Arabidopsis thaliana: one gene and its partner. The protein of the gene in region 1 interacts with the protein of each later gene in a pairwise test. Each region holds a gene or a part of one and is shown on either strand. Other genes may lie near its edges.

Region 1 (4,714 bases):
AGTTTTCCAACCCTATTAGTGAATGAAATAATTAGGCAAGCCACAGAAACATGAATGAAAATCTTAATTATCTGTAGATTGTAAACTGTTTGAAATACCTTCCCAAGGAAACCTGTTACAATAGGAACAGCAGGATCATGCATCCAATCATCATATAATCTCTTGGCAACAGCTGGATAAGTTGCCTCCAGGATATCCCCATTTGTGAAATCATCCGTTGTAATGAAACCAATTTCAAATGCATCATACTGCAAAGTAATGGTCGATAAATCTACTTAGCTATGTTTGCGAGCCGGATCATTGTGCAATAAAGCTCACACCAAGGCCAGTTTAGCATGTAACAGAGAAAGTACACCAATATGTGTTCCTTGATAACCGAAACCAAACTAATAAAAAAGTTAAATGACCAATTCAGAGTATATAGAATTTGTTTATCATATTTTCTAAATCTAGATTGAACTTTTCTACCCTAATCTACCAAGATATCAATTTGACTAAATAAGCAACCAAATGTGATATATAATATAATTAAGAAAATTACAGTAGAACTAAAAATATGATGATGGACATACTTGGCGTGCCTTGACACCGATTGTATTAAGATAAGCAGCAAAAATCCTTGTAGACAAACACTCTCCAAAAGAGACTAAGTAATCTCTGGTTCGAAGTGTCAATTCCTTCATCATGGCAATGCCTTTCAGGAGTTGCTCCAGTTCCTCCAAATAGGCTGCAAAATGTATCCAAGATATAAATAGGCAATGCATGTACACTCTTGAATTATTACCAAACTCATCACAAATCAAAAATTTATGAGCCTTATCAGAATTAGAAAGAAATGAAGCTCCAAATGTTGGAAAGTCTACAAGTTAAAATATGCTCACTCAAAATAACAGAGGGATCAATGTTGAGCTCTTTCACCGTCCTGAAACAACAAAAAAACACATTCTTGATCAAAACCAACAGCAACAAAGGAAAAGATACTCAAAGGTACCAAATTAATCATAGTTACAAGAAACCAAAACCTGATATGCAATTCCTTTATAATGCTCAACTCCTCAATCTCAGATGCATTAGAAACACCACAACTAACCGCCTTCTCTCCCGCCTTCACTAGCAACAAAACCAATAATTCCAATCAAAAAAATTCAAAACTTTGAATAGAAAACAGAGAAAAGGGAGAGAATCTCAGCATTACAAGCAAGAGATTGTTGGTAGTTTTCCCCATAGCAGAGAGAACAATGACGGGACTTTCTTCCGGAAAAGTCAAAATCAAATCAGCAACTTCCTTCATTCTCTCAGCTGACGCCACCGAAGATCCACCAAACTTCATCACGCACGTGATACCCTTCTCATCTACCTCCGTTATCGCCTCTGTCTTCTTCTCTTCCAACACAGCTCGCACAATGTTTCTGCTGCCTGAACCTGAAACCTTTCTAATGGAGGAGCCATCTCCAATGGGTAATGATAATTTCTTCAGCGTAGGGAAATCGACACGATTTAGAGAAATCGGTAGCGTCGGCGAGTTTCGGTGGCGGGTAAGTGGCAATCTGGTGAAAGCTGCATTGCTATGACAACAACGAACCCTAGTAGCCGCCATTTGAGAGGAGGAAGAAGAAGAATATTATTGATAGGTTTTTAAAACAAGAAGAGGAGAGAAATCGTACGGCTCACTCTCATTTGATGAGAGACACCAAAGAAGGAAACTTTGAACCTTCCACTCTTCGGGTCTCTGTACTAAAACGCTGTCGTTTATTACCAACCATTGATTTTGATTTTGACCCGTTTTGGTTGTTGGCTTGTTGCAATAACTGAAGCCAGTAAAGTCTGAGTTTTTTGCTTCTCTGTCGTTTGTTCTCGAAAGGGAAAAGCTCTAAACTTTTGTAGAATTTCTCCATCAACTATGACGATTCTCACTGTACAGTCTTCGTTTAGCTCTTCTCGAGTTCCGGTTATAAAGAACGCGAATTTCGATCAAATTCCGTCGTGGGTTTCTCTGAAGTCGAGCACTTCTTCTCCGTCTGTTAAAATCTCGCATAAGCAAGGACAAGTAGAGAATCTTCATTTGGTTTCGTTGTCGAAGCATAGGAAGCTCAACGAAGCATTTGAGTTTTTGCAAGAAATGGATAAGGCTGGTGTCTCCGTTAGCTCGTATTCTTACCAATGTCTCTTTGAGGCTTGCAGAGAATTGAGGTCTTTATCTCATGGGAGACTCTTGCACGATCGCATGCGGATGGGTATCGAGAATCCTTCTGTGCTTCTTCAGAACTGTGTGCTTCAAATGTACTGTGAGTGTCGGAGCTTGGAAGATGCAGATAAGCTGTTCGATGAAATGTCTGAGTTAAATGCAGTTTCTCGTACAACGATGATATCTGCTTACGCCGAACAAGGAATTTTGGATAAAGCTGTTGGTTTGTTCTCGGGAATGCTAGCGTCAGGCGACAAGCCTCCTTCTTCCATGTATACGACACTCTTGAAATCTTTGGTAAACCCCAGGGCTTTAGACTTTGGTAGACAGATTCATGCTCATGTTATACGTGCTGGGTTATGTAGCAACACATCTATAGAGACCGGGATCGTGAACATGTACGTGAAATGTGGTTGGTTAGTGGGTGCTAAGCGAGTGTTCGATCAGATGGCAGTGAAGAAACCAGTGGCTTGTACGGGATTGATGGTAGGTTATACTCAAGCTGGAAGAGCAAGAGATGCTTTGAAACTATTTGTGGATTTGGTAACGGAAGGTGTTGAATGGGACAGTTTTGTGTTTTCAGTTGTTCTTAAAGCGTGTGCTTCTCTTGAAGAGCTTAATCTTGGCAAGCAAATTCATGCCTGTGTCGCTAAGCTTGGATTGGAATCTGAAGTCTCGGTTGGAACTCCACTTGTTGATTTTTACATCAAATGTTCCAGCTTCGAGTCTGCTTGTCGTGCATTTCAAGAAATCCGTGAGCCAAACGATGTTTCCTGGAGCGCAATCATCTCCGGATACTGTCAAATGAGTCAATTTGAGGAGGCTGTTAAAACCTTCAAGTCTTTGAGAAGCAAAAACGCATCGATTCTAAATTCATTCACATATACTAGCATATTCCAAGCATGCTCGGTACTTGCAGATTGCAACATTGGTGGCCAAGTCCATGCAGATGCTATAAAAAGAAGTCTGATTGGATCTCAGTATGGAGAAAGCGCTCTTATTACGATGTATTCAAAATGTGGATGCTTAGATGATGCAAATGAAGTCTTTGAGTCCATGGACAACCCCGATATTGTTGCATGGACTGCTTTTATATCAGGTCATGCTTACTATGGAAATGCCTCTGAAGCTTTGAGATTGTTTGAGAAAATGGTGAGTTGTGGTATGAAGCCAAACTCAGTTACATTTATTGCGGTTTTAACCGCGTGCAGCCATGCAGGCCTAGTTGAACAGGGAAAGCATTGCTTGGACACGATGCTTCGAAAATATAATGTGGCTCCGACTATTGATCATTATGATTGTATGATCGACATTTATGCCCGTTCGGGACTATTAGACGAAGCTCTCAAATTTATGAAGAATATGCCTTTTGAACCTGATGCAATGAGCTGGAAATGCTTTCTAAGTGGATGTTGGACTCATAAGAATCTTGAACTGGGCGAAATTGCTGGTGAGGAACTTCGCCAACTCGATCCAGAAGATACAGCTGGATATGTGCTACCGTTTAATCTGTACACCTGGGCTGGAAAATGGGAAGAAGCTGCTGAAATGATGAAACTAATGAATGAGAGGATGTTAAAGAAGGAACTGAGCTGCAGCTGGATCCAAGAAAAGGGTAAGATTCATCGGTTTATAGTGGGTGATAAACACCATCCACAAACTCAGGAGATCTATGAGAAGCTTAAGGAGTTTGATGGTTTCATGGAAGGTGATATGTTTCAGTGTAATATGACAGAGAGAAGAGAACAGCTTCTTGATCATAGTGAGAGACTTGCCATTGCATTTGGGCTGATATCGGTGCATGGCAATGCCCCTGCACCTATTAAGGTGTTCAAGAATCTTCGGGCATGCCCAGATTGTCATGAGTTTGCAAAGCATGTATCTTTGGTTACAGGACATGAAATCGTCATCCGAGATTCCAGGAGGTTTCACCATTTCAAGGAGGGAAAGTGTTCTTGCAACGATTACTGGTGACTGATGATCTTTAGTCTGTATCAGTAGATATTTTACATTAAATACTTATCCAACAAGAATGAGTCTGCAAATTGATGGTTAGGACGTGAAAACGTGGATATATTATATGTCAAAAGTAGTGCGTGTAATACAATTCTTCGGTTTACAAAACTGGAAACATTTTTCTGACTGCAAAGTACCCCAACCACACGAGAAGAAAGCATGTACGATATACAGTACTGTTAAAGCTGTGGTAGCAAGACTGTTCTGGGATCCCGAGGTCCCCAAGGTCACTACTTACTGGCTGGACCTGGAGGCTTCCCACAATCTACGTTCTATCCGCAGCTTTCTTAGCTCTGTTAGTCCTTGCTCAACTGAAAATAAGAACCAATTGTAAGAGTTGTCTTATGGATAATCCTCTTGGCTAAAAGGAATTTGGTAAGGTAAATTGTACCTTCCATGGCGTCATGTGAAGATGGAGAATGTGCGCTCCTGCTGATCCAAAATCTAAGACGTTCTCTCGCAGTGTCCACTTCTATGCCAAGGGATTGTGCTCTTCTCCAGAAGTACGTGAGC
Region 2 (4,812 bases), on another chromosome or scaffold:
TACATGGGGTTTCTTGCAGGCAACGGGTTACCCTGTTTTTATGGAGAAACTTGCGGCTACTTGTGCAACTGCTGTTGAGTCAAGAGTGCAAATTGATGGAAGAATAGTGACCAGTCGTGGACCAGGAACCACCATTGAATTCTCCATCACGCTTATAGAGCAGTTGTTTGGGAAAGAAAAAGCTGATGAAGTCTCCAGTATCTTGGTATGTTTTGTCTCTGCCTCTTTTATCAACCGCTGTGGTACGTGTTCATGTCACCTCCTCGTAGACTTACTTGTTATCCTTTTGAAATCAGCTGCTTCGTCCTAACCCTGGTGAGGAGTTTACTTTTACTGAGCTTAACCAAACAAACTGGTCATTTGAAGATACACCACAGGTAAATGTTCAGTTGCCTCTCCACTTGGCCCTTTTAACATTTTTCCAAGACAGGCTTTGTTTGATCCGTTATACAGATTCCTAGGAACATGCTGTGTTGTAAAGCTTTTGTCTTTCTTGATCAATAGTCTTTTATGAGTCAGAGAGATAATGTTTTCCCTTTTCAGATTCTCGTACCCATTGCAGAGGAGTCAGAGGAAATTGAAGCTATAGCGCTTGTAGATATCCTGAGGCGGGCAAAAGCAAATGTAGTGATTGCTGCAGTTGGTAACAGTTTGGAAGTTGAAGGATCTCGCAAAGCTAAGCTAGTAGCAGAAGTTCTTCTTGATGAGGTTGCAGAGAAGTCGTTTGATCTGATTGTGTTACCTGTGAGTATTGCTAACTTCCAAAATGTGAATATACTATTTAGTCTTAAATTAAATTTTAATATTCTATGATGACAAATAACCAAAAACATAATCCAACTTCTTTGATGAACTACAGGGCGGTCTTAACGGTGCTCAAAGATTCGCAAGCTGCGAGAAGCTAGTTAATATGTTAAGGAAACAGGCAGAAGCAAACAAACCATATGGAGGAATCTGCGCATCGCCTGCTTACGTCTTCGAGCCTAATGGTTTACTCAAGGTGCATAAATCAAACAGTACTAGAATTGTAGTTTCTTGTTCTATCTTTTAAGTCATTAAACTGAGATATAAGAGACATGTTTTGTATAGGGTAAGAAGGCTACTACTCACCCAGTGGTGAGCGACAAACTTTCGGACAAGAGTCACATTGAGCACAGAGTCGTGGTAGATGGAAATGTCATAACAAGCAGAGCTCCAGGGACTGCAATGGAGTTTTCACTTGCCATTGTCGAAAAGTTTTACGGGCGAGAGAAAGCTCTTCAGCTCGGAAAGGCAACACTTGTGTGATTTCAAACAATGAAAGTATGAGAGTGGCTTGAATAAAAAGAAGGCTTTGCCTTTTAGTTATCTCTCTCCATTAGTAATTACTTACTTTATGATATATGACATATGAGCTTGGCTTAGTGATTGGTGTGTAACTTTATGCCTTTATAAATGAATAAACGAGATTTTTCTATGTATGTTGCCGATATTTTCTTTAAACCTCTGCAAGAGCTAGAGGGTGTGCTGGAGAAAAAAATTATTTTATGGAGAAAGATATTTTAGTCACACATTTTCACCAAATTGACCTTACAATAACTCTAAAATACGAATTTGCCCCTATGTTTAGCTTTGGAATATTTCATATTTGTAAACCATTTAATAATATGATTATTACCAATTTAGTGAAAATAAAATCTTCAGTCTTCTCTTCTTGTATAAAAATAGCTTTTTTATCATTTGAAAACAGAGTAATGTCACTAATTTCTTGGCGAAAATGTGTTTATTTGTAACTTAAGGTAAAATAGGGGCAATTTTGTTGAATCTGATAAGATCAGGGGGTAGTACCGTAGATTTCGCTGTCCAGTTCAGTTATGAAATACCTAAAATGCCCTCGACTCATAATCTACTATTAAACCCTCATAAAACCCTTGATTTCATTTCTAGCTCATCTGTTTTCACACTCTCTCCTAGGGTTTTATCTGCGAAGCCCAATCTAGAGCTTCCATGGCGACGCATACCATTTCTCGATCCATTCTTTGCCGACCGGCGAAATCTCTTTCGTTTCTGTTCACGCGATCCTTTGCTTCATCTGCTCCTCTCGCCAAATCTCCGGCGTCTTCTCTGCTCAGCCGGTCCCGTCCTCTGGTCGCCGCTTTTTCCTCCGTTTTCCGTGGCGGCCTTGTGTCTGTCAAAGGTCTCTCGACGCAGGCTACATCGTCTTCTCTGAACGACCCGAATCCCAACTGGTCGAACAGGCCACCTAAGGAGACGATCCTGCTCGATGGTTGCGATTTCGAGCACTGGCTTGTCGTCGTGGAGCCACCTCAGGGTGAGCCTACTAGAGATGAAATCATTGATAGCTACATCAAAACCCTAGCTCAGATTGTTGGCAGGTAAATCCCCAATTCAAAACTCTCTCTCTCTCTCTCTCTCTCTGTGTATGTTCTTCTAGGGATTTTAGGTTAAATAAGTGAGAAATCCACTACTGTGTATGACGGATCTGTGTGTTTACTTAGATCATTTTTGGAGCTGTAACATGATATATCTCGTTTTGGACATTTCAGTGAAGACGAAGCTAGGATGAAGATCTACTCGGTTTCAACTAGGTGCTACTATGCTTTTGGGGCACTTGTGTCAGAAGATCTTTCTCACAAGTTAAAAGGTTAACTCTTGCCTTTGTTGGGTTTTAGTTTTCCTCATTTCTGTGTTATAATCTGCCTTCTAACTTTCTTCTGTAACTCTCCAGAGTTGTCAAATGTGCGCTGGGTTCTTCCTGACTCTTACCTGGATGTGAGGAACAAAGACTATGGAGGTAGGCTTAAGTGTATTATCTGTATCATAACCTGGGTTTGAAATTGGGGTAGTTGCTTTGCTCGTCCATTATACTTTTGCTGGGTTTGAAATTTTCAAGGGAAACTACCTGTTGCTAGTCTTCGCTCTGTGGACTCGTTACTTGCTCCATGCTTTTGTGTTAGATTGACACATGGGGCGACTTCTATTTATAGTTAATTAACATTGTGGGTGCATCTGTTAGATTTGATTTAGTGATATCTATTGTGAGACTGGTGTTGTAGAAGTCGCAGTGATGTTGCTTTGGTGAGAGTTTAAATCTTTCTGGTGATCCTATTAGAGAGTTAGTTTGATGCGTTTTTGTATATATTGACTTTCAGGGGAACCTTTCATCGATGGGAAGGCTGTTCCTTATGATCCTAAGTACCACGAGGAGTGGATAAGGAACAATGCTAGAGCAAATGAAAGGAACAGACGCAATGACCGTCCTCGCAACAATGATAGAAGCAGAAACTTTGAGAGGAGAAGAGAGAACATGGCAGGAGGCCCTCCTCCTCAACGTCCTCCCATGGGAGGCCCTCCTCCTCCTCCGCACATCGGTGGCTCTGCACCTCCTCCGCCTCATATGGGTGGCTCTGCACCTCCTCCACCTCACATGGGGCAGAACTATGGACCACCACCACCAAACAACATGGGAGGACCAAGGCATCCACCACCTTATGGAGCACCACCGCAAAACAACATGGGAGGACCGAGGCCACCTCAGAACTATGGAGGAACACCACCTCCCAACTATGGAGGAGCACCACCAGCAAACAACATGGGAGGAGCACCACCACCAAACTATGGAGGAGGACCACCACCTCAATATGGAGCAGTACCACCACCTCAATACGGAGGAGCACCCCCACAGAACAACAACTACCAGCAGCAGGGTAGTGGAATGCAGCAGCCACAGTACCAGAACAACTACCCACCTAACCGGGATGGCAGTGGCAACCCCTACCAGGGTTAAAGCAGTTGAAGCAGTCGTGGGTTTCCTTTTTAATCATGCATTCTGGGCTGTGTATAGATAATTTGAGGAAGAGAGAGTGCAGTAGCAAGACTTTAAAACTCCTTTTATCTCGAGTGTTTATCAGTCTGGGATTATGTGAGAGAGAATAGCCTAAGTTACTGTGGCATGGTTAGAACTTTTCACTCTTGCGTTTCTTTTTAGTAGTTTATATCCTAAATCGATCTCAAGTTCTTCCTTGTGATGCTTGCTACTCTTATGTCCACTCCTGGTTCTGCATTAAACGGGATTTAGTAACATGTCTCCCACAGGCTATTGTTTTGTGTCTTTCTTTGGCTTCTTCCTAGTCTTAATTTCTAATTCCCCAATCATGTTTACATGGGAATGGGATACTCATATTATAACAGGAAGAATGACAAATGTCATCAATATCATATTTCTTTCGACAAACTTGACAGAACACACAATTTGATGATGAGAGAGAGAAGCGGGTGTGAAGTAACAAGATGGGCTTTGTGTTCTTTATCCCGGCCCATCATTCTAAATTTCAGCCCAAAATGGAAAATCTCGTAACCGTATAAAGCCCTCGCTTCCCTCATATGTTTTTCCGCCGTCACATATTTTCCCCTCTTTTTTTTCGTGTCAGATTCGCTTTCTCTACGGCTGGACTAGAAGGATTAGGGATTTACCGGTGAAAGAATAACTCCAGAGATAAATCTGTAACCATGGATATGATGAAGAAGCGTAAGCTCGATGAGAACGGTAACGGACTCAATACCAACGGTGGCGGAACCATTGGTCCAACTCGATTGTCGCCGCAAGACGCGAGGAAGATTATCGAGCGATTCACCACTGATCAGCTGCTCGACTTATTGCAAGAGGCTATCGTACGCCATCCCGACGTGCTTGAATCTGTCCGATTAACCGCCGACTCTGATATCTCGCAGCGGAAGCTATTCATCCGTGGTCTCGCGGCGGATACTACTACGGAAGGTCTCCGTTCGCTTTTTTCCAGTTACGGAGATCTA

The links.
Region 2: the proteins of RARE1 (region 1) and RIP1 interact in a two-hybrid assay, tested with the Arabidopsis thaliana proteins (one study listed by BioGRID).

Annotation. Positions count from the first base shown.
Region 1 is NC_003076.8:4,246,399-4,251,112, reverse strand, and holds RARE1 (Pentatricopeptide repeat (PPR) superfamily protein), read left to right. Parts: upstream 1-1,805; 5' UTR 1,806-1,900; coding exon 1,901-4,159; downstream 4,160-4,714. Other genes in the region: AK-LYS1 (aspartate kinase 1), read right to left, coding at 1-12, 99-248, 573-727, 882-922, 1,023-1,105, 1,196-1,597; AT5G13260 (myosin), read right to left, coding at 4,436-4,512, 4,593-4,714.
Region 2 is NC_003074.8:5,048,335-5,053,146, forward strand, and holds RIP1 (cobalt ion binding protein), read left to right. Parts: upstream 1-1,860; 5' UTR 1,861-1,986; coding exon 1,987-2,375; intron 2,376-2,546; coding exon 2,547-2,644; intron 2,645-2,728; coding exon 2,729-2,794; intron 2,795-3,152; coding exon 3,153-3,787; 3' UTR 3,788-4,121; downstream 4,122-4,812. Other genes in the region: DJ1A (Class I glutamine amidotransferase-like superfamily protein), read left to right, coding at 20-205, 297-377, 544-744, 860-1,000, 1,090-1,287; AT3G15010 (RNA-binding (RRM/RBD/RNP motifs) family protein), read left to right, coding at 4,510-4,812. UniProt on the Arabidopsis thaliana protein: Involved in organellar RNA editing. Required for the processing of numerous RNA editing sites in mitochondria and plastids. Binds to the plastid RARE1 factor, a pentatricopeptide repeat-containing protein involved in RNA editing.